Linked DNA regions of Caenorhabditis elegans. The protein of the gene in region 1 interacts with the protein of each later gene in a pairwise test. Each region holds a gene or a part of one and is shown in the gene's direction. Other genes may lie near its edges. The genes, in order: rskd-1 and copb-2.

The links.
Region 2: the proteins of rskd-1 (region 1) and copb-2 interact in a two-hybrid assay, tested with the Caenorhabditis elegans proteins (one large-scale study listed by BioGRID).

Annotation. Positions count from the first base shown.
Region 1 is NC_003283.11:12,286,690-12,290,615, reverse strand, and holds the start of rskd-1 (PX domain-containing protein), read left to right. Parts: upstream 1-2,000; 5' UTR 2,001-2,013; coding exon 2,014-2,082; intron 2,083-2,152; coding exon 2,153-2,417; intron 2,418-2,521; coding exon 2,522-2,631; intron 2,632-3,047; coding exon 3,048-3,148; intron 3,149-3,194; coding exon 3,195-3,246; coding exon of another isoform or gene 3,247-3,264; exon of another isoform or gene 3,265-3,403; intron 3,404-3,448; coding exon 3,449-3,581; intron 3,582-3,625; coding exon 3,626-3,759; intron 3,760-3,926. Other genes in the region: srpa-68 (Signal recognition particle subunit SRP68), read left to right, coding at 1-843, 1,115-1,300.
Region 2 is NC_003282.8:9,457,789-9,461,714, forward strand, and holds the start of copb-2 (putative coatomer subunit beta'), read left to right. Parts: upstream 1-1,942; 5' UTR 1,943-1,948; coding exon 1,949-2,110; intron 2,111-2,179; coding exon 2,180-2,668; intron 2,669-2,713; coding exon 2,714-2,847; intron 2,848-2,896; coding exon 2,897-3,129; intron 3,130-3,241; coding exon 3,242-3,557; intron 3,558-3,604; coding exon 3,605-3,926. UniProt on the Caenorhabditis elegans protein: The coatomer is a cytosolic protein complex that binds to dilysine motifs and reversibly associates with Golgi non-clathrin-coated vesicles, which further mediate biosynthetic protein transport from the ER, via the Golgi up to the trans Golgi network.

The DNA of each region.
Region 1 (3,926 bases):
GAAAAAGCAAAGCAAGTTGTTCAAGAATGGAAGCAAACAGAAGTCGAATTGGCACAATGCCAAACTCCAAAAGAGAAAATGGCTCTCTTTGAAAAAGCCACCGCTGATACTCGTGATGCTATAGATCGAATTTCGGATATTATTCGCCGTAAAAGTTCTGAAAATGCTGACACGACTGTTCTTCAATCAATCAAGGCTTATTTGGAATTCCTGAAAATGAACGGAACTGCTTCGCGTTACTTGGCTATTATTGATAACACAAAAAGTGAAAAGAAGAGCAAACCTCAAGATCTTTTGAGACTCTACGATTCTGTTATCGAAATTTACAAAGAAGTCGCAGAAATCCCGGGAGCTGATCATGACAAAAATCTTATTCAAGCATTTGAAGTCAAAGTTGAGTACTACAGAGCTTTCAGATGTTTCTATATGGCTTCTTCTTATTCTGCTCTTCATAAGTACAGTGAAGCCGCTGCTCTCTTTGACAGAACTGTTTCTCGAGTTCAAGATGCAGAAGGAAAACTTAAGAAATTAAAATCGAGCTCATTTATCACCAATGAAACTCAATCGTCATTGAATGAGCTCCGATCTGAAGTGGAATCTGCGAAGGTTACTGTACGAGCTGCTCGTTTGGCTTCCGCTGCTGGAGATGTTAAAACCGATTCGGAACTTGCCAAGATTATTGATAAACGCCCACTTCTGGAGACAGTCAATGAATGGCGTCAATGGGATGTTCGTAACTCCTTGAAAGATAAAAAGACAATTCCAGTTGCCAGTTTACCACCAGCTTTTATTCCAATGCCGAACAAACCTATTTTCTTCGATTTGGCAAACTTCCATCTTACCGTAAGTTTTTTCATCACGCAAAACTTGGTATATAAATTAAAAAATCGTTTTGTAGTTTAGAAATTCCAATTTTTCGACTTTTGCAAGAGTAAGACAATTCGTATTCACTTGAAAAAAAAACACTAATCGTTGTTTTCCATTAAAAACAAAGAGAAAACATGTTTGATGCTATGCTGTAATTTATATTTATCATATTTTTGAACTTGCTGATCAAAATTTTATCTAAACTTATTCATCAAAAAAGTATTTAGTTTTAAACAATTATTTACAGATGCCCAATGTTGATGACCGTCTTGAAAAACTCCAAAAAGATCGTGATGCTACTCCAAAGAAGGCAGCGAAAGGATCTTCTGCAGCAGCTGCTTCGTCAAAAACTTCAAATCAAGAAGAAGAAGAACAACAAGGACTTACTGGAATGCTTTCCGGGTGGAAAAAGAGTTTCTGGGGAAATAAATAAGACTACGAAGACGTTGAATAGAGTATTAATTATCATTTGTTACTGTTGTTTCGTTGTCCATAGATACCTCTTGCATCGGCCCAGTTTCTCATATTTAATGTTTTTTTTCTGGTTTTTCACACAGTTCTTCTGTTCTTTCCTGTCTTCAATTTTCTGAGATTTTGTTACAAAGTAACATTTCTCTAAATTTCTTGTGATACCATATTCATTTCTACCCCAGACTTTTTGCTCTTTTTTTATGGTTTGATTCAAAAATAGCTAAGGTATTTATTTGATACCTTCATCCACACCTTTCCCCTGCCCTCATCTCTTCTTGGAAACTTCGTTTTTTATTGGAACGGCGTTTCGTACTATTCGGAATCAGAGTCTCGTTTTAATAAAGATATTTATTGTGAATTCAAGTTTCCCATTTTTCTATAAAGGTGAGAAAATATAAAAACCTTTGCAAAAATATTTTATGATCTTCTTTTCTTTCGCAACCTCATCGATCTTGTTGGTCATTTCACAAAATCAGGAGACGCAGACAACATGATTGAAATGACACGGAATTGTAAACAAACCCGAACGATTTTATTTTCCTATCTGCCAGTTTTTCCAACTTTTGAAAAGTTCTAAATGTGTAGAATTCTATTTTGGCCCTGAATGTTGATTTTTTGTTAATAATTACAACTTCTGAAGTTTTAAGTTTCAATCATTTCAGGAAAGTATGAAAGATGAGCTCGTTATATCCAGATGAAAGCTACTGCACAAGTGATATAGGAAGGATACTTTACCAACTTAAGGTTAATAAAAGCTTATTCCTATAGATACTTCTAGAAGTTTTTTCCAACTTGCCAATAAGCTAATTTTCAGACTGACTGGTCATGCAGCTCTACAGTAACATCAATTTCCGAAGAGAAACATCTTACTGGTTCGCATACAGTTTACACTGTCGAAATTGAATGTAATCCAGTGGCATCCCATCTCGTCGCAAATGACGTTTCTCGTCGAACTTTTGTATTGAGCACTCGATATAAAGAAATGACAAAACTTCATGCGGCAATCTCGAAACTCCATAAACAGCTGTATCTTCGAGGAACTTTCCCTGTTTTTCCACCGGGAAAGTTGATCGGATCTTGTAGGTTTTTGGTAATTTCCTTAAATACTAAACTTTGTGTCACTTTTTCCCTCGAAATAATTTTTAATCCTATTCTTCAATTATTTTTTCTTCTAATTTTTCAGCGGATCCATCCGTCATCCAAGAGCGCCGACATGCTATAGAAGCCTGCCTAAACTTTGTGTTCGACAGCGAAGTTCTACGTAAATCACGTCTTCTACACGAATTTGTCGAGGTAACGTTCTTTCTGAATGCTAAAGCATCGAGACGCCGAGAGAATTTACATACGAAAAAGAGTCAGATAAGACGCAGACAGTCATGCTCACACACTGAAGAAAAGGGTCTCGTCAGATGATGTCACTAGCACATTTTCTCTTTTTGACAAAGAAATTGGTCCCTTGTTTGTTTCTTGTTGACGCGATGCTCGTCAATTTTACGATTTGTTTCAGTTTTTTGTATTACTTTTGAGAAAATGTTCTCGAAAATTAAAACAAAACAACTGAAAACTTCTCGAATATTTCCATATTTTCGAAGACTCCCATAGTAGTCTCCAGGGAACAGACTGGCACGAGTACAAACCGAATTTCATCGAAACTCTCTTGACCATTTTGAAACTTTTCCTTCCACTCAACAACATATTTATCATTTCAGAAAGCCAAAGAAAAAACCTATACGGCACACGAAATCACTGGAAACGAGGTGTTTTATGACAATTCTTCTTCAATTTTGGACCAACCCAATACAAATTCCAGGTTAGTATCTCTGTGTACACATTTCTATAAAATAATTTATTTCCAGTGATTCCGATTCACCGAACCACGCTGCTCTCTTGGAACCGACACACGAACAAGTCAGTCCCACTTGCTAAATTATTATTTTCGCTCAAAAGATTCGTTCACTTCAGTTTCACCTCAATAAGTTCTGTCATATCCATGTATTCACTGAACTTTTTCTTTGTAGTGTCTAATGTATTATAAAAATCTAATCAGAAATAAAAAATATTTTTCAATTAAATAGTAAAATAGTTTTTGAAATATCCACTCATTTTTCAGACTGGCGACGACTTTCAATTTCCGGACGTGGCTATAGCTTCCGAAACTTCAAACGAAGAGCAACGAACTGCAAGGAAAAGCTCAATGAAACGACTCTTCCCAAGATTACGAGGATCTACGCATCATAATATTGGTAGAACACTTATTTTTGGCGAATTCAAAAATATATAAATTCAGAAATCGAAGAGACTCCAGCTGACTACTTAGTTACGGCTGGGCAGCTAGTGGCAACGGCTCAAAGAGCTGAAGAAGAACATGCGTATGAGTTGGCATTTCAATGTTATAAAAGTGCAGCCAGCAGTCTCATTCAGGTATATCTTTCAAAACTAAATAAACTGTAGAAATAATTAAAGTAACTTTTTTTTCAAATCCTCAAACTTTTACGTTTAATAACATTTAAAATACTTCCACGCATCGGTTAACGTATGATATATTACGGGAACACAAATGTCTAAGAATGCGTATTGCGCAGCATATT
Region 2 (3,926 bases), on another chromosome or scaffold:
GAACAGAACAAGAGACTCGTTGTTCACCTCATAAGTCGTGCACAGAATTAGTAAATACAGGGTGGGCCAAAAGTATGGTAACACGTTTGCAGCTCTATAACTTCACGTGTGGAGGGAGTTATTACATCAATGTGTACAAGTTTTGTTCTCCATAAAATACTGACCAGATTAACGTTTTGAATTTTCAAAATATCCCCATCCGCATTGCTGCAGGCCTTCAGAACTTTTGAGATCACGATCTTTATGGCACGCAAGTCGGCATTCTGCGGGATTTCTACATTTTTCTCGAGGAATCCATCAAGTATCTTACAAGTTTTTATAGTTCAAAGAATGCTCTTGGTCTGGAGATTCTTTAAAAACAAAAATCCAAAAAATTTCTATCGTGGTATTTCTGTACGGACTGTGGCAGTAGTTTAGGTCTTGAATGACACAGTCGCCAGAAAGATGGATGTGAGCGGCGGCACCAGTATTCATTTTAGTACTTTTTGGCACGGTTTGACCTGAATTTTCAGAATTTTTAGAAAAAAATTAGCTCTGCTGATTTTGTGGGTCGTTACGCCTTGTGAAACCAAAAAAACTGAGTAAATTTCGGAAAGTTTAATTCATGAAATATTCAAAGGTTCTTGCTAGGCGCCAGTGTCGACACAGAAAATTTTTATATGCTACAAAAACAATCAAAAACGCTTCTTCATTTCTTTAACTTTCAATTTAACATAAAAATCATACATCTGAAAATTATTGGCGTGCGTGGGAGGTGCGTTTGTGTGGGAAGTGCCGCGTGCCAAAATGCCGTTTTAAAAAGGGTTCGCCAAATTGCCGAGGTGATTAAAATCGCACCTTATTGGGAAACATTACAAATTTTGGGTCAAATTGAAGGAAATTTATTCAGCTATCAGTATTCGATAGAAAAATGTACGTATGACGTGGCAGTCGCGCGAAAATCTCATGTAAAAGAGCGCTTCATGTGTTACCATACTTTTGGCCCACCCTGTATGAACATGGGTTCGTACCATGGAACCACAACGAAAATGACCAAAAGTTCCATATTTTTGAAGTCCCACAGAAAGCTATTTATTTTCTACCAGTTGTTGCATTACGTTTTGATTATTTGTATTTGAGCATTGTGTTGTCAATATTATAAGAATCATACCATTTCCACACACACACACACACACATTTTACATAAATAATTAGCTAAATTTATGTAAATTCTCTTGATAATTTACAAAAAGAACGAGCAAAATCGGTTATTCTTATTATTCCTGACTCGTATCGAGTACTCTTTCTACTATAATATTGCTCTTGGTTTGGACATTGTGGAGAACACAACAATAAGCAAGAAGATTGCCATAATCAGGTAAAACTAAGGCTGCAAAGGGGGCCTCTTCGATTTTAAGATATAACTGAGTTTTTTGAAAAATCTAAAACGTTTAAGGTTGTCCAGAGCAAAATTTGCATAAACATTCAACAACTTCACTATCAGTTTCAAAAAAAGTTGATTTTTCTCGTAATTTTTTTTCATTCATTTTACAACATTTCCTGAATGCAATTTTATTTATAAAATCTGCCACGAAGCAGCCACCGTTCGTAAGAGACACCTCACAAATGTGAGAAACGCAGACAAAAAAGTCAAAGGCACGCCGACTTTCCCGCTGTGGTCTCGATACGATCGGGGCTTTCTGAGTTGGCGATGGATGCGCCTCTACCTTTTGAGTGTTCTATCGTTTCGCCAACGTATCTTTTGATGAATTTTAAGATTTTCTTCTAAAAAAGATTAATTTCGGTTGATTTAAACATCTGAATTCTAAAAATCCAGAATATTATCGATTTTTGAATGTTCTTTCGGTTTTATTTTATTTCTATAAGCTGACTATTTGCAAATCTTCCTCTTCGTGCTCAGCTTAATTTTACATTGAGTTTATTTATTTTAGCTTTTTTTCAGAACAAGATGCCTCTCCGACTTGATGTAAAAAGAAAGCTTCTGGCTCGTTCGGACCGCGTGAAATGTGTCGACTTGCATCCAGTCGAAACATGGCTTCTAGCTGCTCTTTACAATGGAAATGTTCACATCTGGAATTACGAAACACAAACGCTTGTAAAGTCATTTGAAGTAAGCTTTTTTTCAAATTTATGTGCAAACTTCATGAAATTACGAAATAACTGAATCTAAATTTTGCAGGTGTGTGACGTACCAGTTCGTGCAGCGAAGTTCGTTCCAAGAAAGAGCTGGGTTGTCACGGGATCTGACGATATGCATATTAGAGTTTTCAACTACAACACATTGGAACGAGTTCATCAATTCGAAGCACATTCTGATTATCTCCGATCGCTCGTTGTTCATCCAACACTTCCCTACGTCATTTCATCATCCGACGACATGCTTGTTAAAATGTGGGATTGGGATAACAAATGGGCAATGAAACAGTCATTCGAAGGGCATACTCATTATGTCATGCAGATTGCCATCAATCCAAAAGATAATAACACTTTTGCAACTGCTTCTCTTGACAAAACTGTCAAAGTATGGCAGTTCGGATCGAATGTTCCGAATTTCACTTTGGAAGGACACGAGAAAGGAGTCAACTGTGTCGATTACTATCATGGTGGAGAGAAACCATACATTATTTCTGGAGCTGATGACCATCTGGTCAAGATTTGGGATTACCAAGTAAGTTTTTTTTCTCTTTGCATTCATCCAAAATGATATTTTCAGAATAAAACGTGTGTGCAAACGCTCGATGGACATGCGCAAAATGTGTCTTCAGTTTGTTTCCACCCAGAACTGCCATTGATAATCACAGGATCCGAAGACTCCACTGTTAGATTGTGGCATGCAAACACCTACAGGCAAGAACATTAAAGTACGATTTCCACAACAACAATTTAAAATTTTTAGACTGGAAACAACCTTGAATTATGGGTTGGAACGTGTTTGGTGCATCCAAGCTCAAAAAGGAGCCAACACTATTGCCATCGGATACGACGAAGGTTCCGTCACGTTGAAATTAGGCCGAGAAGAACCAGCAGTCAGTATGGATTCGTCTGGAAAGATTTTGTGGGCAAAGCACTCCGAAATTCAGCAAGCTAACCTGAAGACAATCTCAACTGAAGAGTCGGAAGCCATTCAAGGTTTGGAAAACTTTCATTCGACTTTTGTATAGTTCGGCACATGTTTTCTGAAAGTATTAAAAAAAGAGAAATTGTGTTCATTTATTATCACTCTAAGACAGTTCATTTACAGATGGAGAACGTCTGCCGCTTTCTGTAAAAGATCTCGGATCTTCTGAAATCTATCCACAAACCCTTGCTCATTCATCTAATGGACGTTTTGTTGTCGCTTGTGGTGACGGAGAATACATTGTTTATACTGCAATGGCTCTCAGAAACAAGGATTTCGGACAAGGACTCGAGTTTGTCTGGGCTGTTGATCCAAATATGTTTGCTGTCCGTGAATCTGCCACCAATGTGAAGATAAAGAAGAACTTCAAGGATCACAAGTCAATTCGTTCAGATATGGTACTTGAGGGAATTTCTGGTGGACCACTTCTTGCCTTGAGGTTTTTGAACTCTTATCAATTGACTTTTATTTAATTTTTTGTTTCAGATCGAACAACTCTTTGTGCTTCTTTGATTGGGAATCAGCCGTTCTTGTTCGTCGTATCGAAATTACTTCCAAGAGCATCTATTGGAGTGACAACGGAGAGATGGTCGCAATTTGTGGAGATGATTCATTCTACGTTCTCAAGTACAGTGCTGAAGCAGTTGCCAATGCAACAGAAGTGACCGAAGACGGTATTGAAGACGCGTTTGAGGTTATTGGAGAACAGGCAGAAGCTGTGAAGACGGGATTCTGGATCGGGGACTGCTTTATTTTCACCACTGCACTCAATAGAATCAACTATTATGTCGGTGGAGAAATTGTCACT